Tribolium castaneum: one gene and its partners. The protein of the gene in region 6 binds, or shares a complex with, the protein of the main gene of each other region. Links are inferred from orthologs where the notes say so. Each region holds a gene or a part of one and is shown on either strand. Other genes may lie near its edges.

Evidence for each region.
Region 1: eIF3j (region 6) and eIF3b share a complex: the UniProt entries of both Drosophila melanogaster proteins name them as parts of the eukaryotic translation initiation factor 3 (eIF-3) complex. The link is inferred for Tribolium castaneum from reciprocal best matches to the Drosophila melanogaster genes eIF3j and eIF3b.
Region 2: eIF3j (region 6) and eIF3c share a complex: the UniProt entries of both Drosophila melanogaster proteins name them as parts of the eukaryotic translation initiation factor 3 (eIF-3) complex. The link is inferred for Tribolium castaneum from reciprocal best matches to the Drosophila melanogaster genes eIF3j and eIF3c.
Region 3: eIF3j (region 6) and eIF3i share a complex: the UniProt entries of both Drosophila melanogaster proteins name them as parts of the eukaryotic translation initiation factor 3 (eIF-3) complex. The link is inferred for Tribolium castaneum from reciprocal best matches to the Drosophila melanogaster genes eIF3j and eIF3i.
Region 4: eIF3j (region 6) and eIF3h share a complex: the UniProt entries of both Drosophila melanogaster proteins name them as parts of the eukaryotic translation initiation factor 3 (eIF-3) complex. The link is inferred for Tribolium castaneum from reciprocal best matches to the Drosophila melanogaster genes eIF3j and eIF3h.
Region 5: eIF3j (region 6) and eIF3d1 share a complex: the UniProt entries of both Drosophila melanogaster proteins name them as parts of the eukaryotic translation initiation factor 3 (eIF-3) complex. The link is inferred for Tribolium castaneum from reciprocal best matches to the Drosophila melanogaster genes eIF3j and eIF3d1.
Region 7: eIF3j (region 6) and eIF3m share a complex: the UniProt entries of both Drosophila melanogaster proteins name them as parts of the eukaryotic translation initiation factor 3 (eIF-3) complex. The link is inferred for Tribolium castaneum from reciprocal best matches to the Drosophila melanogaster genes eIF3j and eIF3m.

The regions. Positions count from the first base shown.
Region 1 is NC_087399.1:10,622,590-10,626,729, reverse strand, and holds the start of eIF3b (eukaryotic translation initiation factor 3 subunit B), read right to left. Parts: upstream 2,801-4,140; 5' UTR 2,754-2,800; coding exon 2,618-2,753; intron 2,406-2,617; coding exon 1,903-2,405; intron 1,844-1,902; coding exon 1,611-1,843; intron 1-1,610. UniProt on the Drosophila melanogaster protein: RNA-binding component of the eukaryotic translation initiation factor 3 (eIF-3) complex, which is involved in protein synthesis of a specialized repertoire of mRNAs and, together with other initiation factors, stimulates binding of mRNA and methionyl-tRNAi to the 40S ribosome.
Region 2 is NC_087401.1:16,331,015-16,334,284, forward strand, and holds the end of eIF3c (eukaryotic translation initiation factor 3 subunit C), read right to left. Parts: intron 2,381-3,270; coding exon 692-2,380; intron 644-691; coding exon 557-643; 3' UTR 501-556; downstream 1-500. UniProt on the Drosophila melanogaster protein: Component of the eukaryotic translation initiation factor 3 (eIF-3) complex, which is involved in protein synthesis of a specialized repertoire of mRNAs and, together with other initiation factors, stimulates binding of mRNA and methionyl-tRNAi to the 40S ribosome.
Region 3 is NC_087394.1:748,471-751,741, forward strand, and holds eIF3i (eukaryotic translation initiation factor 3 subunit I), read right to left. Parts: upstream 2,138-3,271; 5' UTR 2,013-2,137; coding exon 2,010-2,012; intron 1,894-2,009; coding exon 1,700-1,893; intron 1,322-1,699; coding exon 538-1,321; 3' UTR 501-537; downstream 1-500. UniProt on the Drosophila melanogaster protein: Component of the eukaryotic translation initiation factor 3 (eIF-3) complex, which is involved in protein synthesis of a specialized repertoire of mRNAs and, together with other initiation factors, stimulates binding of mRNA and methionyl-tRNAi to the 40S ribosome.
Region 4 is NC_087398.1:6,460,957-6,463,906, reverse strand, and holds eIF3h (eukaryotic translation initiation factor 3 subunit H), read left to right. Parts: upstream 1-1,144; 5' UTR 1,145-1,294; coding exon 1,295-1,372; intron 1,373-1,468; coding exon 1,469-2,407; 3' UTR 2,408-2,450; downstream 2,451-2,950. Other genes in the region: SelT (thioredoxin reductase-like selenoprotein T homolog CG3887), read right to left, coding at 301-624, 671-800, 847-1,001. UniProt on the Drosophila melanogaster protein: Component of the eukaryotic translation initiation factor 3 (eIF-3) complex, which is involved in protein synthesis of a specialized repertoire of mRNAs and, together with other initiation factors, stimulates binding of mRNA and methionyl-tRNAi to the 40S ribosome.
Region 5 is NC_087399.1:4,807,827-4,811,879, reverse strand, and holds eIF3d1 (eukaryotic initiation factor 3 p66 subunit), read right to left. Parts: upstream 2,611-4,053; 5' UTR 2,544-2,610; coding exon 2,342-2,543; intron 2,280-2,341; coding exon 2,017-2,279; intron 1,971-2,016; coding exon 1,859-1,970; intron 1,814-1,858; coding exon 1,704-1,813; intron 1,650-1,703; coding exon 1,511-1,649; intron 1,464-1,510; coding exon 1,171-1,463; intron 1,128-1,170; coding exon 558-1,127; 3' UTR 501-557; downstream 1-500. Other genes in the region: Sans (ankyrin repeat and SAM domain-containing protein 4B), read right to left, coding at 3,417-3,795, 3,845-4,053. UniProt on the Drosophila melanogaster protein: mRNA cap-binding component of the eukaryotic translation initiation factor 3 (eIF-3) complex, which is involved in protein synthesis of a specialized repertoire of mRNAs and, together with other initiation factors, stimulates binding of mRNA and methionyl-tRNAi to the 40S ribosome.
Region 6 is NC_087396.1:21,287,100-21,290,295, forward strand, and holds eIF3j (eukaryotic translation initiation factor 3 subunit J), read right to left. Parts: upstream 2,000-3,196; 5' UTR 1,685-1,999; coding exon 1,672-1,684; intron 1,612-1,671; coding exon 1,526-1,611; intron 1,481-1,525; coding exon 1,373-1,480; intron 1,327-1,372; coding exon 1,029-1,326; intron 977-1,028; coding exon 840-976; intron 796-839; coding exon 745-795; 3' UTR 501-744; downstream 1-500. Other genes in the region: Srp54 (probable splicing factor, arginine/serine-rich 7), read left to right, coding at 2,260-3,196. UniProt on the Drosophila melanogaster protein: Component of the eukaryotic translation initiation factor 3 (eIF-3) complex, which is involved in protein synthesis of a specialized repertoire of mRNAs and, together with other initiation factors, stimulates binding of mRNA and methionyl-tRNAi to the 40S ribosome.
Region 7 is NC_087400.1:753,795-757,025, reverse strand, and holds eIF3m (eukaryotic translation initiation factor 3 subunit M), read left to right. Parts: upstream 1-1,301; 5' UTR 1,302-1,431; coding exon 1,432-1,476; intron 1,477-1,533; coding exon 1,534-1,713; intron 1,714-1,758; coding exon 1,759-2,688; 3' UTR 2,689-2,731; downstream 2,732-3,231. Other genes in the region: Sec15 (exocyst complex component 6), read left to right, coding at 1-115, 166-357, 401-638, 683-824, 872-1,058, 1,104-1,230; CysRS (cysteine--tRNA ligase, cytoplasmic), read left to right, coding at 3,064-3,231. UniProt on the Drosophila melanogaster protein: Component of the eukaryotic translation initiation factor 3 (eIF-3) complex, which is involved in protein synthesis of a specialized repertoire of mRNAs and, together with other initiation factors, stimulates binding of mRNA and methionyl-tRNAi to the 40S ribosome.

The DNA of each region.
Region 1 (4,140 bases), on a different chromosome or scaffold from region 6:
AAATAAATAAATAATACCGACAATTGTGTGAGTTCATATTATCATCTAGAGAAACAAATAAATTCAAAGTTAAAAATAGGTTTTATGCAAAAAAAAAAACTAAACTGACAATTCATTAACACTTTTCCTCTACAGGTGTCTCAAAATTGGCGAATTCTCAGTTCAAAGCATTGTAGAAATCATTTCAGTAATCCAAATATATAAAAAAAAATTAAGATTGGGGGCATCCCCACAAAGATACACTGGTTTGGAAAATCACTCTTAGAATTGCGTTTCGTTCAATTGCATGCTAAAAGTTTCAGTATTTATTGGAAAAAAAAAACCCTGAAGGTATCAATACTAACCTAAGTATCGTTGGTATTGAGGTACCGGAAGAATCGAGGTATTGAAAATATCGTAGTATCAAGGTATTGACAGTTTTATGGTATCAGCTCTGGTATCAGTGAATCTAATTTTTTTACTGAATTATTGAAGTGTTGGCTTTTTTCTAATATATGCCATAGAAATGGATACATTTTATTCTGCGATTCTTTACAACACATAGACAGTCGGAAATTATGATACAGAATGTGTCTAATCATTTTTAAAATGCTTTCCCGAATTTTTTTCGTTTTATATTTTTATACAATCGCACAGTATTTTATGGTAGCATTTTAACAACTTTTGAAGGCATTTATTTATTATTTAATATTTACACTGATCTTTACATATGGTAACAATCTGAACTAAAATTAATTCACTCCTACTTTCTCTTCCAAACTAGTTTTGTAAATTTAATTAATTTCAGAGGACAAATTATAATTTTTTTCCTTTTTCTAAAATGCATTATTAAAAATTTAGTTCATTTAATATAAGTTTTTATAGAGTCAAAGTATCAACCATAATTAAATTATTTCCAATTTGCATGATTTTCTGACGTTTCAATTATAAAGAATACACTAAAAAACACCGTAAACTATAACAGGAAGATGAGCAATATTTTACGTAGATCTTTATGTAAATATTCAACGAGCAGCAAATATTCGAAGTTTAAAATTTATGAAACGCTCCTTCATACACAACCGTAACATAAATTACACTAACAGAAAGTTATCGCACTAGACTCGTTAAACGTAAAAATAACACACAAGTGCGGTAAATCACGTAGAAGAATGTCAAGTATTTCAAAATAATCACTAAACAAAATACAGGGCGTTTTTCCGTAAACTATTTACCTTACGAAAAAATAATACTAGTATAAGCAAGTACGCTGAAATTTTATTTTCTGGCCAATTTCGCAAAAAAAAAACACCCAATCAGAAACAATACCACATTGAATCAAGTAATTTTTTAAAGCATAACCTTTAACCAAAATAATCAAAAACTCGAAAAGTAAAAAAAAATTCAAAAATGACCACATTGTTAATAGACTTGATAATGTGCTAACTATTTTTTCGTAAAGTAGAAATATTAGAAAAAAACGTTTGGTTTTATACTTTGCCGGACAGAGTATGTAACTTACATTATTTTTTTTATGATTTGGTCATGTCATACAAAAAATACAAAGAAAGTTTATTCAAAATACCAAATGTTTAACGACAAATTAAGATAATAAATGTGATAAAAATTACCTTATATCCCAAATAATGATCCCTTTCTGTTGCGGATGCTGCGGATCTCCCTGAGGCGAGTACGTCACCAAATACTTCTCGCACGGCGAAAAATCAATAAATTGTGCATTGGCATGGGCATACCTTTTGTATTGGCTAAACTTCTGACCCACCCATAACGCGATACCTTGCTTATGGAAAGTGGCTAAATACGTACCTAACGGAGACCACTTGATATAAGCATGTGTCCAAGCCTATCCCAAAAAAAAATCATAATCATAAAAAACCAACCCAAAACGATTAAAAAAATTACATGTCTCTCCTCAAGTAAGGAAGGATCAGGCTGCGTATTTTGCCAAATTTGAACCGACTGTCCCTGTCCCAAAACCACGGCAAATTGGTCGTAAGCATCAGGCTCGAGCAAATAGTGGTGGACGTCCCCCTGGCCCTCGTAGGGCTGCGGCTTCGGGGGGTCCCACTCCTCCGGAATCGCCTCATATTTGGTAAAGTCAGTGAAGAGATTGACTTGGAAAGTGTGCTGCTTATCAAGCTTGAAATTATTGGTGAGCTTCACGGCTTCAGCTGCGTTGACTGGAGAGGAGTATTCCAGGAAAATGTAGCCTTTGGTGTGACCGTTTTCGGTCACTGGATAGTACTCATTGACTATGGATCCGAACTTGACGAAAATCTTATTAATGACGGATTTCAATTTCTCGATACGGTCGGGGCCCACTTGCGGGACACCGTCGACCACAATCACGCTCTCAACACCGTCAGTCTCCTTCGGCTTCTGCTTCAAAATATCGGCCAGGAGCTCTGAAACGACAAACCTAACCTCACTTTCGCGACCGCATATGTTGCAATCCAGGCGAGATATTTGATGCGAAAATGCTAAAACGTGGCTACGGTTTGCCAAATCCAACAAAAATTAATTGTTTGAGTGGACAGTTTTACGAAAAATGAGGGTTGAAAATGAAGTGACAGCATGGTTATGCCCGCATTTTGAATGAGCGTTTTTGGGGAAATACCTTCATCGGTGATGTTGTCGACGTATCCCTCGGGATCGCTGAAGTTTGGTTCATCATCGTTGGACGATAAATCGCTCTCGTTCTTCGTATTATTCCCGTTAAGGCTGTTTTTGTCGTCCACTTTCTTTTTCGCCATTTTGACACGCGTGAGGGTCGACCGGTAAAGAAGGACGCGCGGGAATAAAATGTCACAGTTTTGTAAGGCGCCAGAAATGAATTTAATGGAGAAAAACCACTTTTGGGCCCTTTCCAAGTATGGACTTGACTGCTGTGTCCTTAAAACTCATTTGTATGTTGCTAATTGGGTTAATAAATGATTAATGAATTAACGTAAGAAGTGTTGTAAAAATTGTAGAAGTTGTAAGCCTTGTCATTGGCCGTTTCAGGACGGCCATCATAATTATGTCAGAAAACCAATCATTTTCGATTTTTTGATTCATTCAAAAATTTAATTCATTGGTGTAATTGGTCCATTTGAGGTCGGCCATTAAAATAATGTGCAAAACCAATCACTTCAGAGTTTTGATTCATTCAAAAATTTGGTGCAGTTAATTGATGATTAATTCAGTGTTCTTTTTTCTTGATTTCGTGTAAATTATTATTTTTACATTAGTTAGGGCCGCTTTTACAATAGTCCAAGAAGAATAAATTTATTACGGGAATAAATTTTCAAAAATACATTGTTGAAACAATTGTAACTGTGTAATTTGGTACTAATTAAGTATACCACGAATAATTTGTTTACCCGAAGTTTATCTAAGGATAGTGAAAAATAATTAAATATGATATTTATTAACATAACTTTTCGCCAATAAAGTTGTAACCAGCAATACCTATATAATACATACACTTAAATTGGGTAGTAACAAAGCGATCAGTAATAAATGTAATTTTGATCAACAAAAAATAATAAATAATCAGTATTTAATTAATTTTTGCACAATAAAAAATTAAAGTAGTCGGTATAATATAATATTTTCCATTTAAAAAATTTAAGTGACACGTAAACTACGCACAGTATTTTATTAAAATTTGTTCGGTTTTCGGTATAAAGTCAACCTATTTTCAACCGCAATTCGGTACAAGAATCTTATTTTTTAATCTCTTGTCTTGCCTTACATTAAAAATTACAGTGATGGTTTGACTTTTATGCAAGATATTGCCAATCGCACACTTTAAGTGGTTAAGAAATTTGTACCAAAGTAACAAAATTTTGGTTTTACTGTGACCAGAACAATCTTCTGACTTAATACTTATTGAATAAGTCTAGAACACTCTCAAAATAAGAGTTTTATGGACAAATGTTTCACAAAAAAATTATCAGGAATTATTCGCAGCTCCAAATACAGCACGGCAAGAACTCTGTCAACAAGAACTAGACAAGAGTGTCACGGTTACACTCTGTATTAGTGACCAAAAATATTATTCTAATTTTGATTTTATTAATTGTAAAAACGTCACACAAGATCAAGTTATAAATAACAGTTTTTATTTTTGTTTTTCTTTAATTGAAACAACGGCGA
Region 2 (3,270 bases), on a different chromosome or scaffold from region 6:
TGCATAATGAAAGTCTTTAACCCAAAAAGGAAAATACCAAGTGAAAGAACAAGAAATGGAATTTAATTTGTAGCTTTTTCAGACGCTTTGAGCTTCAAAAACTTCCAAAAATAATTTTTTTATTTTGGGCTAAAAACGCAAAAATAACGCCATTTTAGACTTCACTTAGTGATTTTTCGGTCGGGTTTAGAAAGCGTATAAAGAAGCTTGTTCCAAATATATAAATATCGTAAAAAAAAGTTTTAAAGTAAAAAAAAAACATCTATTTTGATTTATTTTGCAGCTAATTTTACTAAAATTTCTTGAAAAATACGTTTGAAACTTGCTGCAAATTTAACAAATAATTCACAAAGAAACAATTTTAGTTCAAAAACGCTTCAACCGTCTCACCTAATCCCGGATTTGCAAATTGATGAAGACAATTTTGTATAAATTTTAGTAAAATTCTTGAAATTAAATTGAGGAGATCTCCATAGAAAAGGTAAGTTAGGGCACAAAAATACTCGTATGTTTTTTATTGGTTTCAAATAAAAAAGACCCAACCTGACTGTCACTCTTAATACTCTTTCCTGTGATCTCTCCTTTGCCGACTCCAATCCTGATTGGTCCCCCTATAATTCTGCCTATCTCCTCTGAAATTTCCCTAAAAAACCAAACTCAAAACTCACCAAACCCCAACACACCAACTCACTTGATTCATCCCCCTTGAAAAGAAATTCCCTTGCTTCGTCTCCAAAATCCTCTCATTCGAATCAACGAAATTATTAATCTTATCCGCCAACTGCAACGCCAGTGATTGCAAACGCGACGGCTCACTTCGATGCATGACAACCGTCTGAGTCGGGTCATCGAGCGACGCCATCAGCTCCTCATTGATAATCATTTTGGAAATAATCGAGTGAACCACCGGCTTATCCAACTCGAACATTTGCGCGAGCGTTGCCATGGAAATCGAGTCGTAAACGTGCGAATAAGTGAAGAGGTACGTCCGCAAGGACTCCTCCTTAATCAACCGCGTCAGCATCGCCCTGACCGCGTCCGCCTGATAAAACAAATCCCAAACTTTCGCGTTCATCTTCTCGTTGATAATGAAGCCGTTGCACGCCGACCAGTTCCCGTTGCGCATGGCCTTGGCCGCCGCCACCACGTGCTCGCGCATGCTCTCCGGGGGGCCCACCAGGCTCTGCCTCTCCGAGCTCCGCAGCTGCTGGTAAAAAGTCTTCGAGATCATGCGCCGGCGGGCGTCGAACTCGTGCGCCGCCATGTAGGGAATCTCAATCAGCATCGCCGAGACCAAATAAACGCACTCCAAAAGCTCCAAGTTGATGTGCATATGGAAGGGCATCTGGCGCTGCTTTTCGATTTTCTCCTGCTCTTTGCTCCGCTCATGCTGTCTCTGGGGGAGCAACCCCTGGGCTAGCAACTCCTTGGGCTTCCCGGTCATCATCAAATCCACGAGACAGTTATGCGCGTCTTTGATATTCGCGTGCCGGAAGGCACACAAACCCAGATGGGCCATGGTACGGTTGTAGAGAATCTGGGTGCTGGGGTCCGAATGGTGGATGGTCTCCTGGAGGTGGGACATGAGGACCAAGTCACGCGCTTGGAACCAGTTATCGTGCAGGGCGTGGTGGTAGATATGGGAGAGAATCGCACGTGTGCGCAACCGATCGGTGCCATCTTTCGCGTAAATGAATTTGCACAACTTTTCCATTTCTTGCACCGAAGTGTACAAATCCCTGGGGATTTCCCCGGCTTTTTGCTGTAAAACCCGCGGGTCGAACTTGTAATACAGATGCTCGATTTTGCGCAAATAAATGCGGCAAAGTTCGGACGGGGCGTTCGTCCGCTCGAGGTATTTCATCGTCTTGTCGATGATTTCCGAGACTTTGGCCTCGTCTTTCAAGCGCTCGACGTATTCGTTGCTGTGCGGGTCGCACTCTTTTAGTAGCTTTGTGAATTCGTCGTCGAGGCGCTCGACGGAAGTTAGGACACAGCCGCGGATTTTGTAAGGGGGTTCTTCCAGGTTTTCCGTTTCTTCGGTCACGGATTCCGAGACGAAGAGTTGGGGGTTGCTGAGGAGAAGGTCGAGCATTTCGGACATGCGCTCGAGTAGTTTCATCCAGTATTCGGGTTTCATTGCGTCGGAGACTTTCGGGTTGTAGTCGAAAATTGCAGAAATTATGGCGAATTTGATTTTGACGTAGATGGCGGGGCCGAGTTGGTGTTGGTCGGAGACGTTTTGTAGTTCGTGGAGGAGTTCGATTTGTTCGCGACGGTCGGTGCGTTTTTTGCCACGGGCTGCCATTATTTCGGAGAGTTTTTTTATTACGAGGTTTAGGTCGATTTCCGCGTCTTTGGCGAACATTTTCGGCTTCTCCTGAAATGAGTTATTTGCATGATTATGTTATAGAATAAGGTCTTCTGAAGCTGTTTTATAAAAAAGAAGTTCATTGCTCTATGTTATCCAATCAAGACAGCGGAATTTTTAACTTTGTGTTTTATTTTAATTTTTCAAGAATGATTATTTTTGACAGACTCTAACAAGAAAACCAAACATAATATCTTTCCAAATTTTTAATATGTTATAGAAAAATATCTTCTGAAGCTGTTTTATAATAAAGAAGTTCATTTGCTGTATGTTATCCAATCAAGACAGCGGAAATTTTAACTTTGTGTTTTATTTGAATTTTTCAAGAATGGTTATTTTTGGCAGACTCTAACAAGAAAACCAAAAACAATATCTTTTCAAATTTTTAATATGTTATAAAAGAAGGTCTTCTGAAGCTGTTTTATAAAATTGAAGCTCACTGCTCTGTGTTATCCAATCAAGACAGTGGGATTTTTAACTTTATGTTTTATTTGAATTTTTCAAGAATGGTTATTTTTGGCAGACTCTCACAAGAAAACCGAAAATAATATCTTTCCAAATTTTTAATATGTTATAGAAGAAGGTCTTCTGAAGCTGTTTTATAATAAAAAAGTTCATTGCTCGATGTTATCCAATCAAGACAGCGGAATTTTTAATTTGGTGTTTTATTTGAATTTTTCAAGAATGGTTATTTTTGGCAGACTCTCACAAGAAAACCAAAAATAATATCTTTCCAAATATTTAATATGTTATAGAGGAAGGTCTTCTGAAGCTGTTTTATAAAAAAGAAGTTCATTGTTCTGTGTTATCCAATCAAGACAGCGGAATTTTTAACTTGGTGTTTTATTTGAATTTTTCAAGAATGGTTATTTTTGACAGACTCTAACAAGAAAACCAAA
Region 3 (3,271 bases), on a different chromosome or scaffold from region 6:
AGTAATTTTTCAGTCTCAAAAAACACAAAACGTAACTAAATGCAGTAATACGGAGCTGAAAATTTCATTATTTTTGCTTTTTCGAATGTTTTAGTTACATTTCACAAGTTGGAAGCGCCGGAATAAAATTTACCAAAATTATTTTCGTAATTAAATTTCAGTTTCAAACGAACGAAAAACACATTAACAAGGGCTTTATTTGTGTATTTTCTGTCAAAAAGTCAAAAAGCTATGACAGATAAATCCATAAAATCCGGGTTTTTGTTAAAAAAAAACAGAACATAGTTAGGTATTTTATTTTGGAATACTCTGTATACAGATTAAAATATTTTTAGAACGTGCCTAATAAGTCTTACAATAGTAAACCTAGCGTTTCAAAAAAATTCAACTTGATAGCTTGCATAGAAAAAAAGTTATGGAGCACCTGTATAATCATTATTTAAAATCATTGCTCCGAAAACTTAGACTTGGACGTAATCTAGGAACAAAAACAACCAAACTGTTTTATTAAAAAATTTATTAATACCAGCTATCCATTTAATAATCGAAATTATACTCAAAATATGACGAATCGAAATTATGCACTCTCACATAACCATCTTCACCTCCTGAACTATAACTCTTGCCATCTGGATGAAACGCCACACTATTAATCGGCCCAAAATGCCCTTTAACCCTCCCAAACTCTTCTTCAAACACCATATGGAAAAACCTCGAGTCAAATTTCCCAACCCTTGCCGACGTGGTTGTCACATCCATGGCATCTTGCCCTCCGCCCACAACCACATGCTCAAAAATGGGGCTAATGGCAGCTGAATTAACCGGCCGTTCTGTCTTGTAAGTCTTCAGTAACATCAAATCAGCAGCGTCGAACAGTTTAGCTGTGTGGTCTTTGGACGCTGTCACAAACATTGTCCCGTCTTTATTCCACTGCATATCGTTGATTAAATGTTCGTGTTCACGTGTTGAACTGATCTCTTTGCCTGACTTCAAGTCCCACTTGATCAAATCCCCGTTTTCGTGCCCGGTTATTATAGTTTCGTCCAGGTTATCCCATAGGATTGACGAAACACGGGAACCTTTAATCGGGATGCGTAAAATGGGGTCGGCGTGCGAGATGCTTTCGTCCACGTTACGGACGTCAATAATGAAGATCTCGCAGTTGTGTTTGAGGGCTTTGTCGGTGGTGTACACTGCCATGTTGCCCGAGTAGCTAAACAGACACGTTCGGACTGATGAATTGGTTGAGATGTTCCCGATTTCTTTGCCCGTTTCACAGTCCCATACTTTAAGGGTGTTGTCACCGGCACCTGACAGGAACCTATAAAGTTTAAATAGTTTAAAAAGTAGCAAAATAGGTGATATTTCTGGTCTAAGTAGTATTTGATTAAATCAGTAAAAGCAAATTAATCAAAACTTGTACAGGGTGTCTCACCTAAAACTTTCGAGATTAATATCTGTTTTATTAATTTTAATTTTAAAATTACGATTTTAAGACTTCAGTTTTTGCATTAATTGGATTTTAATCTTTACTTTCCTAAATATCTGCATTTTAATTTTCATAAAAATACGTTGACAAATAACTGAGATATCAGGCTCAAAAGTATTAGGTGAGGCACCCTGTATATTCGCTACTGAGGCAACCTTATCGCGCACCCATTTGCTTTATTGCAGCAATAAATTTATTATTATTATTAACCTAGTGGTGGTCCAGTCGACGTCGATGCACCAGACAGCCCCCTGGTGGCCGTTGAAGGTTCCCAACCTCTCGCCATTAAGGGAGTACCAAACGTTGGGTTTGTTGTCCTTTGAGGAGGAGAAGAGGAGGTCGCCCTCACGGTTGTACTTGATTTGGGTGATGGCACGTTCGTGGCCGTGGAGTAGAAGGGGTTTCTGTGGGGGTTTTGAGGTTAAATTTAAGCGAACAATATGTGGGTGAAATTGTGGGGTAATGTAATGTTTTACGGTTGTGGGGCGTTTTTTTCGATTGATTGTGAGTCGTTACTTACCATTTTGTTAAAAAACTGGGCGTTTTTTTAAGGATTTTAATGATTAAACACGCTTTTTTTGACGGTTGTTTGACAGAAGAGGTGTCAAAATTAACTGTCATGGTGGGTTGTGCAGTGGCGGGGTTAAGTCAGTGCCGGCTCAGGTGAAATAACCGTATTGTCAAAATTAACTGATAAATGGCGTTATTGCCATTTTGGCAATTTTTAGCAGTTGGGAAAAATATGTAATAAAATTAACTGTGATTATTGATTAAAAACTCTTTGGGCCTTTACTGATTTTTTTTTTTAATTATTATCTTTACAAACTTAATCTTTTAAAATAATATTTCATTGTAGCGATTTTGTTTATTTTTGTATGAAATAAAGGGCTTTTGGCAGTAAAAAAATTAAGTAGAGCCATTAATTTAAGACCTTGGGACCTTACAATCTTTTTTTTATCTCAACTTTTTAAACTTTATTTTTTCAACTCCCTTTTCGTGTTTTAATTTTTGTAGGAAGCAAAGCCTGATGATGGGAATTTGATTGTAAAAAAAATTAAGTGTGGATAAATATTCCCTGGGGCCTTACCTATTTTTTTTTCTTTTTTTTTTGGAAAATATTTTAATTTTTCAAACATTATTTTTTAACCCCCTTCCCATTTATTGATTTTGTTCAATTCTGCAAGGAATATATAGCCTAGCCATGAGACTTTCGACTGTAAAAAAATTAATTGATGACAAACATTCTGCTTACTGAATGTTTTTCTTTTGTTTTTTTGCAAATGTTTTACTTTTTAAACTTCATTTTTTTCAACCGGCTTTCCGTACTGCAATTTTGTTTATTATTGCAGGAAATAAAGCTCTTGGATAGTGTTCGACTGTAAAACAATCAAGTGGAGGTAAACACTCTTTAAAACCTAACAGATTTTTTCTTTTTATTTTCAAAATTATTTTGAATTTTAGAACTTAATTTTCGCAACGCTTTTACCGTGTAAATAATAAATATTTTTGCTAGTAATAAAGCGCTCCAGTAGGGCCTTGGCTTGTAAAAAAATGAAGTGGGGACAAATATTCCTTGTAATCTTATTGAATTTTTTTTCTTTTTTTCTTTTTTGAAAACTCCTTGACTTTTCAAACTTTATTTTTTCAATCTCCTACCCGTGTAGCGACTTTGTTAATTTTTGCAAGAACGCGTCCTACTGATTTCAGCAACTGTAAACTAAAGAAACAAAATGGGGATAAACACTTTTTTTCGAAATATGTACAGGGTGTAATAAAAAACAA
Region 4 (2,950 bases), on a different chromosome or scaffold from region 6:
ATATTTTATGTGCCTTTCTATTAAACACTGCCAAATGATTTTGTAATGTAACAAATGAATAAATCATAAAAACGATGAGTTTTTGGGTTTTATTAGGTATCAAATAAGAAGACAATTTCTTTATGTACAACTTTTACTTATCACAAATCTAGTTATTTATAAATCATACATTCAAACATACTGAACGCTGTGTGATAGTGACCAGACAAAAAATTATAGAATGACACTACCAGACTCACAACAAATTTAAAAAAGAACAATCTGATAACAAAACAATCATTTTCGAAATTTATAGTAACTTTACTTCGGGAATCCGTTGCTCAGTTCAATTTTGCTGTCAGTGAACTGCATATGATTATCGATGATTTGGAAAAGCTCTGCAGGTTGTGGTATCCTGCCCGTCTCCAGTTTGGACCAAACAGGAACGTCATTCAGTGAGATTTCAAAAGCCCCCGATTGAATCAACTGTCCTTCGATAATATTACACACAAAGAACAGCATCATGCAAGCATAAAGCTTGTTTTCTGTGCACCAAATCCACCATGAAGGCTGTGGTTGGTTAATGTATTCAAATATGTTAATAGCCCCCAAAATACACACGATTATCACCATTTTAACGATGCCCTGAAAACGCATAATCATCAACTTTCACTCATTATATCATACTTACAATAAGTCTGGCCAAATACATGTTCAAGCCTGGGGGGTCGTAATTTTGGCCATCAACGGCTATAAAAGGGTATTTGTCCCCAACGATTTTTACGTACTGCTCGAACGTTTTCCGGTAACCACACGAATAACTAAATTAAATAATTAGATTATGATATTGGGGCTAGGGGAACATACCAATACAAAAATTTTAAGGTTGGGGCCCCAACATTTTGACTTAGCTTCGACGGGAGGACGTCTTCAGCTGCTACGTTACCGTTTGATTCGAGAAAACACAGCCCCGCAAACACCACTAAATACCAAAAACATGATATTTGTCTTAAACCAGCCATTTATTTTGCTTTCTAATGCTCTCGTCAGCTGATAAATTTCCAATGACAGGTGGGACTGGTGGAAACGTAGGGGAATTTAGACACCGACTAGATCAGCCTAAAACACTAATATAATAATTATTTCACGTCCAAAAAACACGAGATTGTGTTAGCTGCTACAAAATTTGGTAACAAACAACGTAATCGTTAAATAAGGCCATTATCGGCTGGCAATTTTTACGAAAATTGTGTTTTTGTAGCAATTGTGGAGTTTTTGTTTGCGCTACATTGGCAGGTATTTTTGGCAGTTTAAAATGGCGTCTCGTGGGGCTGCTTCGAGGCGTGTGCCTGAAAATGACTCGACGATTGCTTACGTGCAAGCCGACGGCTTGGTAAATATCCCTTCAGTTTATTTAAACCCAAAAGTCACACTTTGGCTACCTCAGTTAGTAATTAATACCTAACATACGGAACCTAACCTCTTTCAGGCCGTCATGAAGATCGTAAAACACTGCCATGAGGAATCGACCACTAACATGGACATAGCCCAGGGGGCCCTTCTCGGCCTTGTCGTTGAAAACCGGCTGGAAATCACGAATTGTTTCCCATTCCCGAAACAAACCGACGAGACAATGGACGAGGACGAGTACCAGCTAGCGATGATGCGGCGCCTGCGACGCGTCAACGTCGACCACTTCCATGTGGGGTGGTACCAAAGCGCCGACGTCGGGAACTTCCTCAGCCTCCCTCTTCTCGAATCGCAATTCCACTACCAAACCTCAATCGAGGAATCCGTCGTTGTGATTTACGACACTCAAAAATCCTCGCGCGGGTTCCTCACACTTAAAGCCTACCGTTTGACGCCTCAAGCCATTGAGATGTACAAGGAGGGCGAATTCACGCCCGAGGCCCTCTTGAAGCTCAAAGTCGGATACGAGAACCTCTTCATCGAGGTCCCCTTCGTTATTAAAAACTCCGCCTTGACCAACATCATGATGTCCGAATTGCAAGAACTTGTCCCGGAAGAAGAAGGCTCGAAATTTTTAGATTTGGGAACCGCCTCCGTCCTCGAGGGGCAATTGCGCTGCCTCATGGACCGAGTTGACGAACTCAACCAAGAAGCGATCAAGTTTAATAGATACCAACAGTTGGTCAGCCGGCAACAGCAAGACAAACACAGATATTTGCAAAAGAGGGCGCAGGAAAATGCGGCTAGGGCCGCGAAAGACGAGCCCCCATTGCCCGAAGAGGACATTAATAAGCTGTTTAGGCCACATCCGGTGCCCCCGAGGCTGAACCCGATGATTATCGCGGGACAGATTAATACGTATAGTCAGGCCATTTCCCAGTTGTGCTCGCAGAGTTTGGCTAAGTTGTATATTACGCAAGCGTTGCAGAACGCCAAGGAGGCGAATTCTAATCCTTGAACTGTTTTGTTACGTTGTTTTACAATAAAATAATATACAATGAGTTTGGGTTTTATTTAAACCAGGCGTAATAAAGCTTAATTGGCGCAGTCAGTAGGTTTTGTGGTGGCGTCTCTTCTGTGAAATTTCTACGTTTGAACGTTTAATCATCCCCTTAAAAAATGGTACTAAACCAACAGTGGAGAAAGTCATATTCGCAACCTTTTCATCGTTTATGTTGATTTTGTTGTTTTTTGATTGAAATAAAGGACACAGCTTTTAAAAAATAATGTATTCAATTGCCCTAAACATCAATTTAGTCATTACAGTCTTACGAACCTAAAGAAATGAATTTTATTTATTTACATTTCTATTGCACAAACTGGCCAAAATGTACACACTTTTTTGTGCAACTTTCTCAAACTCATACAAACCAATAACAAACAACACACGAAAAACAACAACAAAACAAGACTAGATAATCAATCACAATAAATCGTTTCGTATTACGCTATTAGCAGTTCAATCAATAAGAAAAATCGTGTCATGAGTATAAAAATGTTG
Region 5 (4,053 bases), on a different chromosome or scaffold from region 6:
CACTTGGAGATGAGCAATTGAAAAAATACACTTTACGACATCATAAACTCAAATGTCATCAAATTAGTTTGAAAATTTTATAAAGTAGTTAATCTGTTGTAAAATGTTGCACTCAAACGATTATAACTTTTCAACATCTCAAATTGTGTGGGTTCGAGTAAAAATAAAACTGTTAATTTGATTTAGTTATTGAATGTTGGAACGTATTAACAAAAAAAGAATGAATCATACGATAATATGACATCTTACGTCATAAAAATGTGCTGATAATCTTGAATAAGTAAATTCTAAACCTAATAAAGTAAATCCGCAACAAAATAGAATAATGCACTTACCTTTATTTTTCTTTTGTTGTGAATACGACAGCTTTACTTTCTTTGTTGAAAAAAATTAAAAAATGCGTGAGCAAATGCACCTTGCTGCTGCTACACGACAAGAGTCCGTTTTATTTTTTTTTCACTTGTTGGTTAATACTATGCACGAGAATTAACTGCAAATTATTATTTATTGATCATTTTATTTCGGCCTTTCGCTAATACATGATAAAAATACAAAATCTAGCGTTTCGCACTGTTGGTGTATGGATAAAGGGTCTGGAAAGTCACGGAATCAGGGGGCACCTCATCCTCCGACTCCGACTCCCCGTCCGATTCGAACGTATTATCCGGAATATCGTACAACCGGATCATCGGCTTATTCGGATCTTTCATAATCAAATACTTCCCATCCTTCTGTTTCATAACAATGTCAATAATACACCGCAGAATCCCCCACGCATTATCCATATTCAGATTAATCTGAGTGGCAAACTCGTGCGGCTTATACTGCTGTGTACCCAGAATAACATGCTTGCTGTTATCCCTGACATGGGCCCGGGAAACATAACCGAATTTAATTTGGTCGCTGCCAGCCAGCAACGCCTGAACGGTCCATTTGGCCAGCTTGCAGGCGTTATTACGCAGCTCATTGGCCAAAACGGCGCCTCTCTGGGTGTCCAGTTTCTGGCGCCACTCCACCCCATTGGCCAATTTGGAATCCCATTCGTTCAAGGCCTTGATTGACAGGAATTGGAGCTCGCCATTCGGGGACTGGACCACGGCATCGTGTTCGCAACGGACAACCAAAAACTACACAAATTAAACGTGGACAGAAACAAAACGAAAAAATTACTATTCCGCTCCCTAGGTCATATTTGCGGTATCTGTAGGCCACACTGGCGACCTCCCCTTCCTCCTCCTCGGAGATAAAAGGGTTTGGGTTGTCGAACTTGAAGCGGGGCTCCCCGGTACCTGTTCTTAATACCTGTTGACTGAAATTGTGGTTAATGAAAGTGGCTTCCAAGGCCAGGTTTCGAGGGGAGTTTAAGGAGTTGCCGTCGTCTTGTGGGGGCTCCACGGACGTTTCGTTGACGGTTAAAAGATCAAACTCCGTATTGTCACGCTTATCAAAGAAGAGTTTATCGCCTGAAAAATTTTGTTTGAGATTTGTTACACTTGTAAGGGCACAGTACCAATTTTTTCAATCACGATGTCCCAGGAATAATTCGAGCGAGTGCAGCACATGATGGTCGCAAGGATCGCATCAGTGGCGTACACATTGCCCTCCGTTTTACTCAACTTACGGATAATCGGATCATCAGTTGTTGTAACCTGAGGATAATTAATTTTAATTTTTTGCCATCAATGATATTAAAAATAACCCACTGTATGGAAGATACGATTGACGCTTTGCAGCGGCTTCTCATTCTTCACGTTGACACGATCGTACGACTTGTCATAGTACTCCAACTCGCCACAACAAGTAATATCCTCGCCTAAAAACCAAAATAGAAAAATTCGCATTGCTTAATTAAACCAACCGTCTTTGACGTTAGGGAGCGACAATTTTCCCAACCGAGGGAAATCCATTTCCTCAATGGTGACCCAATCCGGTTTGACCGTAACCGAAGCGTCCCTGATCTTAATCTGGGGCTAAAACCGCCAACTATATTGCGGTAAAACTCAAGCGAGATCTTACCCGTCCTTGTCCCCATTTCTTAACCTGGCTCCTCTTATACGTGTCCCTGGCTTTAACCCCCTTCCCGAGGGACTGCATGCCGCTGCCTTGCACCCCAGCACGGCCGCCACGCCCGCGCAAGTTGCGCTGGTTCGCGCGGAAGCGCCCCCGTTGATAGGGGGGCTTCTGGACGCGTGTTGTGTCCACCAAATGAAAAGTGCTCTCGTCTTCGTCATGATAATACGCGTATTGACTGCCAGAACCGAACTGGGACGCATACTTGTCTAAAATTGCGAAAAATAAGTCACTTAACCTCAAATTTGACATGTGTCAATGTCAGACTAACTGGCATATTTCTTGTCTTGGAAGGCGGCCCCCGTCCAGTCGCTGATTTTGCCGAGACGGTCGCCTTTGCTGAAGGGCTGGTACGGCATATCTTTGAACTGGTCGGGCAGCTCGCAGGGCCCCCATCCAGTCGGGTTGTCCTGGATTACGGGGGCCACGAATTTGGGGACCTCACCCGCTGATTGACCATCAGTCATAGTCATTTGACTTGCTTTCAGAAGTTAGGAAGTGTTCAATTCAATATGTTGAAGCAGAAACCGCGAGTTGTGCACAACACTTGGCAAAAAGAAATGTGCGCGCGCAGATTCTGACAATCGACAGTTTTTGAAATTCGGCGCTTTTGAAATCAAAATAACATGGCCAACTTACATCAAATGTCGCTGCGCTTGAGAAAACATTTTCATCCACTTTTTTTTCAATTTAATTCTCTAATTTTTGTTTACGTGTTGTTTCACTTACCTTTTCTACACTTTTTTTCAGAAAAAAATTGTCACCCTGATCCGCAGCGACATTTGATGTAAGTTGGCGATGCTAAATAATAATGGAATCCTGTTAAAAATCCTTCACTCTTGGGTTTCCAATTAATTTTAAATTAAATTTTTTCCATTACAACCTAATTGATTTATTGCATTGTTAATAACTAATATTTAACTTGGAAAAACAGCAAGAAAATAAGCTCTAATGGCAATAAGGCATTATTTTTTTCTATTTTGGTGTCTCACTAACTTTATTTTGCATAAAAACTCATTGCCATCACAAAGAACGCAACAGCGCAAAAATTTGTATTGAATTCAAATTCTTCTACACGTAACTTCACTTTTTCGTAGTATATTTTACGTCCCCTATTATTGCGTATTGACGATGACATCAGATTTCTCTCAGCAAAGAGAACACTGATAAGGAGTGGGTTTAATAAGCTCGCATTTGCATAACACACATTTATTTATAATAAATTTAAATACGAATTTGTAAATATTATGCCTGGCACACATCTGTACAAAAAGTGCCCATAAAATACAAGCAATACCGTTATCATGTCCACGACAATGAATAAATAACACATTTTGACTCCATATTTACAACATGCTGTCTGTGACTTCGCCCGGATTCTCCAGCGCGGCTTTGCGTTCGCTGACAGCGGTCACAAGTTTCCTGTACGGCCCTAGGGGCAAGTTCAGGCTTTGGAGATCGTTTTCTGTCAGTATCATCAGCGTTTCCAGGTCGATTTTCTGCTCCTCGAAGCGGGGAAGGTACTCTCCTAGCCCCCAGGCGGTCAAGAAGCGTTCCAGGGGAGCGTTCGGGTTATCGTCGTCGCTGGACTCGGGGTCTGATAACTCGTCTTCGATTGATAGAGTGTTGGTTCTGGGGCCGTAGCTTTCCCCTGACCCGATTGAACTCTCCTCGTTGGGGCCTTCGCTGGAGTAGAAGCCTTGGAATGTGTTGGTTATGCTCTTTCTAAATAAAAAACGTGTTTTTGTGCTTTCGCATATTGATTATTTGTTACCGGAACGCTATGCTTCCAATTCCTGGGCGCACGAAAATACTCGCTGGTTCTTGTTGGAGTTTAGTGTCGCCGTTTGTTTCCAATTCGTGCATGAAGTCAGGCTGGGAGATGGACCTTGTGAGGCCGTTGCTGGACGGTGGTGGCGGCGGAGACGACTCTATGTACTCAGCTTCGTTGAAGACCGATTCCAGACGGCCTCTCCTGCCATC
Region 6 (3,196 bases):
CTAATCAAGTGTGTGTGGCATGGTGGCAGCCCTGAGTCTAAAGACGCTTGCTTTTTATGACAAAAAAGTTAACATGGTGTTTGTGTTTAGTTTTAAAAAGTGTTTAAAATCGGGAAAAGTCTAATGAATCAGTGTTTACATAGTGTCATCGTGGAGGTAAGCACCAATTTTGCCATTTTTACAACAAATATTGTGATGAAACTCGGACAGGAATACCAACAACGGTACTTAAATATTCAACATTAAAATAGATTATGGTCTCAAAAAGTTTATAGAAGCGGGGTCCACTTGTTCTATAATAAATTTCAGCATAAATGTGTAATAATTACACGTCAGAACGGCGTAGACGGGATTTAAATTGCGTGCGTGTGGCAACTCTGTGTCTAAGACACTTGATTCTTTTTTAAATAAAACGCAATCATTTTTTTGAAAAATTATATTGATATTAACAATAATTGCATCAAATCCATTGAATACAACTTGTATGCAAATCCATACAATAATCGCCTTAAAATACAACTTCTATATCAGTAGCAACAAAAACCAGCAACTCATTAATTAATAATGACTCGTTACATTAGTATAGAAAAACACAAAACGGTGAAAAAAAAGTAAAAATTATTAACCATATTGCATGATCATTACACTACACCTTTTTAAAAATACCGTATAATTTAACAATATTTATATTTATCGAAGATATTTATTTAAAAATTAAAACCCTATCTAAACCGCTGCAATCTGCTACATAAAGTCGTCGTAATCGTCATAGTCGTTAACATACGCTGACAAAGGCTGCAAAAAAAATTAACCCAAACACTTGTAAAACCACAACTTACATTTCCATCATCCAGTCGTAATTTAGCCTTGCCTTTGCCTTTGTTTTTCTTCGATTTCTCGCCTTTCTCGATTTTTTGTTTCTCTAGGTATAAATTATCTAACGTATTTTTAATTTTCTTAATATCTAATGAGGACACTGCAAGAACATTCATCATTAACGCTGTTTTAAATTAAAACGAGAGACGTACAAGTGGCACACAGATTTCGTAGTAAGTTTTCGGTGAACACCGGATACTCTGTGCTTTTAGCTAGAGGTTGGAGCTTCTTAGAGAGAGCGTCTGTAAAGTCCTGAAACTCTTCTTTAGTAGTTGGCAGCGTGAGTCCGTCTAAACCTGAAATGTTTGTGCTATTGGTGTCGCCCCCAAACGTCGTTTCTAGCGCTATTTTCAAGTCCGATTCCTTCTGCATCCTGAGCTTCTCCTCCGGGGAGATTTCCTCCTCCTGTTGCTCCCTCAGCCTCCGCTCCATTTCTTCCTTCCTCTTTCTCTGAATAAGGAGAAATTAGATTTGTCACAACTATTGCGATACCCACTTCTTTCTCTGCGATTTTGTCAGCGATTGACTGCTTCTTGGGCTTGGGTTTGGCCTCCTCGGCAGGCGCCGCTTCCACCTTCTCCTCCTCCTCATCCTCCCAGCTTTCCTGCAGGAAAATGGTAAATTTTTGGCAGGAATTCACTCATTTTACCTTGACGTTGTCGTCTTCGTCCTCGCCTTCCCATTTGTTGGACGCAACCACAGGTGTAACAGATGGAGGTTCGAAGTTATCGTCGTCTGAAACAGCCCCATGTCAAATTTTCGCTCAAGTAGTGAAAGAATTGACTAAATTTTTACCCCACGATTCCATATTGGCGAAAATACGGCCGAAATTAGCACAAAACGACCTCAACCTCGAAATTCACGTGTGCTGAATAACGTGCAACTGCACCAGAAACCGCCAGATGACACTGTCAAAGTGTCACCAAACCAAACACTATCTTTTCTCGAAGCTTCCACAAGTACACCGATTTGTAGATGTATCAAACAATACGTTTCGGCTTTTTATGTCTCTTGCAAGATGAAAAGTCAGCGAAATCAGGCGAAGTTGAACAATTCACGAGCGAAAATAGCCCTCGAACACCCATCTCACCCTTGACAGAAACCAACTACGCCTGCCAACCGGCACACAATTAAGGCACCAAATTACAACCAAAGTGCAAGTTTTACAGGCTATTTAACGCCAAAGATTTTAAATAATTTGAAATTATCCTTTTGGGACAGTCATAAAAAGTTTTAATTAGGACGATTGGCCATAAATTGCTTTTTCACCGCGTTTTTCATCATTGAACAATAGTTGGCGACACTTGCTGTCATTTGACTTGTCAATGTGCGTCGTTTTACGTTTTTTAAACTCGTTGGAAAATGTTAAAATAGTGCGTGAAAATGGTCGTGGGTAACACTAAGGTGGTCCAGGTGACCAACATAGCCCCCCAGGCCACCAAGGACCAGATGCAGACGCTGTTCGGCTACTTGGGTAAAATCGAAGACATTCGCCTGTACCCCACGATTCGAGACGTCTCCTGTCCTGTCCAGTCCCGGATTTGTTACGTTAAATTCGTGGATTCCAGCACGGTAGGTGTAGCCCAACACATGACAAACACTGTTTTCATCGACCGGGCCCTAATTGTCATCCCTGTGATCAACGGGGACATCCCCGACGAGTACTACGCTCTGGAGATGACCCGTAACGGGACCATTGTCCCCGGGTTTAACGTAAACGAGCCAAAGTTGCCCCCACATGTCTCCAATTCGTTCCAAGGCACAGGCGAGGAACGCGTTGTTGTCACAAATGACCCCCATTTGACTGACAATGGCTGCGCCCCCTATCCCCCTTTGCCGGCCAAATACGACTCGATCAAAGTCGAGGAGACTCGTCGAACGGTCCAAGTGGTCAATATTGACCCCGCCATACCCACAGATGAGATAATCCAGTATTTTTCACAAGCCGGTGAAGTGAAGTATTTGAGAGTGTGTGAGTGCCCCAACGACAACACCACGCACATTTTGATCGAATTCACGGAACAGCCAAGCGTCGTGAACGCCATGAAAATGAACGGTGAAGAGTTCAAAGGCAAGCCGCTGGAAATCATTCACGCCACTCAACCAATCATGAAGCCCCAAGCCAAAAGTAACGAAGCCGCTCAGAAGGAAATTGAAGAAGCAATGTCTCGCTTTAAAGAGGCTCAAAACATGATCAATGCCTCGATTGAGCCAGTTATCGGAATGCTAACTAAAGATAAAAGGAGCTCGCGACGTTCCCGCTCAAGATCTAGAGGGCGTAGACGCCGCTCACGCTCAAGGTCACTCTCGCGTGGTTCAC
Region 7 (3,231 bases), on a different chromosome or scaffold from region 6:
ACGATGTGGTTTTCCCGCACAAGTTCCCCTTTTCGGGGATGGTGCCCAAGGTCTACCAACAAGTCAAGGAGTTTATTTACGCGTGTTTGAAATTCTCCGAGGATTTGAATTTAAGGTTTGGTTGTTGAATAATTCCAATCGAAGTGGGCTGTGACTGAATTGTAGTCAAGTGGAAGTCGACGAAATGATCCGCAAGTCGATGAATTTGCTCCTGACGCGGACGTTTAGCGGTTGTTTGTCGTCAACGTTTCGTAGCCCGCACATCAATCTTCAGGAAATTATCCAAATAATCATCGATACGGGCTATTTGGAGGAAGCCACGGTCTACTTGGACCAGTTTATTTCAAATATTACAGGGTAGGGCACAAAATTAATCCGCCAATAAAAACAAAACATTTAGGGAGGAGTCTCGAGGGGTGTCCACGGGAGTGGTCCAAGGCCAACCAGCCATGTTCCGCGTGGCTCGTGAAGACGCCGTGCGCCAAATTTGCGAAAAATTGCGCCAAAAATTGAACGAGTTTTACGAATTGGAGAGTTATGATTGGCTGTTGGGTGAGCCGTCAGGACACGCCTCTAGTTACATCTCCGATTTGATTGCTTTCCTCCAGACGACGTTTCAGAGTTTCACCAATTTACCGGTTTGTTGATTGGTTTTGTTGATTTTTTATCGAGTGATTTGTAGCCGGAGGTGGCGCAAGTTGCGTGTAAGTCGGCGTGTGAACACATTGCCAATTCGATGTTTCAACTGTTGATGAATGACGAGATCAAGCAAATTTCCATGGGGGCCTTAAACCAAATCAATTTAGATTTACTACAGTGTGAACGTAATTAATCGAAAAATGATAACCGGAAATTTAAACAAGTTTTACAGAATTTGCGGCCTCTGAGCCCGTCAAAGGCCTACAAGAGGACGTCCTCTTGTCGTATTTTACCAAACTACGGGAGACTTTAGACCTGTTCACGTCATGGGACTGGCCCACTTATTTCCACGACTATGGGCAAGAAACCAGCAAATATAAGCAAGTCAATCCAGATGATGCGATAGTATTGCTCGAAAAGTAACAAATCGGGTTATTAAACCACAAGTTAATTGATTCTTGTAGATTGAAAGAAGGCGATAAGAAAACTATGTTCACAGTATTGAAAAAGAACGAAAGAGACAAGAAGAAGTTACTGGAAACGGTCCTAAAACAACTGAGACAGCTGACCCAAATAACGCCCAACAAATAACCGACTTGTTGAATTAAATAATAAATTTTATTAATTATTCGGTGTTTTAATTTTTGTGGCCAACTTGGCCACCAAATTTAAAAAAGTAACAACTTGGCGTTTGCGCATGCGCATTGCCAACATAACCATCAAATTTGCGGTGTGGTTTTTCCCCTTAAAACAGTTAAAAATTGCAAAAAACCGTGAACTAACTGTAGAAAAATGCAAGTGCCCCCTGTCTTTATCGACGTGAGTCCCGAGGACCAGGTAGGCGCCCATTTGTGGCATTTTGTGTCCATATGACACTTTGAGGTTATGTTTTAGGCGCAAGAGCTCCGCATTTACTTAAAAAGTTTAGGCGCTGAAATTTCGGAGGAAAAATCAGTCAAGGGCATCGAAGACGACCTACACAAAATAATCGGCGTATGCGAGGCCTGTTTCAAGGAGGGCCAGGAGCCCGAAGTTGAGATGGTGCTCAACGACATTGTCTCAATCATGGTGCTTGTAAGTGTCTCGAATCATTTGCGCGTGGTATTGGACGTGTTTTAGATCCCGGCCGACCGGTCCGAGAACATCATCCTGGCCTTTTGCCAGAAGCTGCTCAAGGCTCAGGGCCCCAAACTGGGGCTGGTGTGCCTGCGCGCCTTGTGGCTGCTGTTCCAGTCGCTTGACGAGACGTCCCCCATGCGCTACCACGTCTACTACCACTTGATTTTAATTGCGGAGAAAACGGACCAGGTCAAGTCGGTGTTCCAGGATATCGAGCATTTGAAGCAACAGTTCGCCCCGTGTCCACCGACAAGCGAGCAGTTGCAGATTCTGTACCGGTTGTTGCACCAGGTGCTGCTAAAGAGCAACCACAGTGAGCAGGCTGCCAAGGTCATGATCGAACTTTTGGGGACCTACACCGATAAGAACGCCTCGCATGCCCGCGAGGACGCGATCAAGTGCATCGTCTCGGCCCTGGGGGACCCCAACACCTTCCTCCTCGACCCCTTACTGGCCCTAAAGCCGGTCAAATTTCTCGAAGGGGAGCTAATCCACGACTTGCTTAATATCTTTGTCAGCGAAAATTTGGCAACGTATTTGAAATTCTACCAAGAACACAAGGAGTTTGTCACGTCGCAGGGGTTGAACCACGAGAAGAACATGCAAAAGATGCGGTTGTTGTCCTTCATGCAACTCGCTGAGACCAACCCGGAGATCAGTTTTGACGTGATTGAGAGAGAGTTGCAGATCAAGGCTGAGGAGGTCGAGGCGTTTATTATCGAAGTCTTGAAGACTAAACTGGTGAGGGCCCGCATGGACCAAGCCGCTCGGAAAGTCTACGTCTCAAGCACCATGCATAGGACTTTTGGGCGCGCCCAGTGGCAACAATTGAGGGATTTGCTCCACTCGTGGAAAAGCAACCTCAGCATGGTCCAGGAAGGGATGAAGAACGTCACAGCGGCACAGCTCGAAATGTTGAACCAACAATAATTGTTTTGTAGCGATTAATTTAAGAATAAAAATTTTGGAACTAGTTGGGGATTTTTATTTTAATACCACGTCAAGTAACTAACTAAATTTGCTGCTTAAACTACGAAAATTACATTATTGCGCCCCATAATTTAATGTGGGGGTTTCACCCGCCACGTGTCGCACGTTCCTTGCCCCCAATCGGGGTCAAGAGCCGCCGGTGCCGTTTCATGTTGGCAGCACTGTGTGGTGTTGTGGCCGCTGATTCCGATTTTGTGGGAATTCCGTGCCTTCTTCTGATGCAATCACAGTTTAATTTCCGCTAGATAACACCGAAGAGTGCGTTTTGGTGTTGGTGTGTTAAATAATTGCAAATTTGGTGGTTGGAGTTAGGTTATGTCGAAACGTGTGCAGCCCCCGTGGTCGGCGCCGGAGGCGTCTGGCGGTCCGGTCCTGAAAGTGTTCAATAGTCTGACGCGTCAGAAGGAGGTGTTTAGGCCGATTTCGGGCAAAAAAGTGACTTGGTACAGTTGCGGGCCGACTGTTTACGACGCCTCGCACATG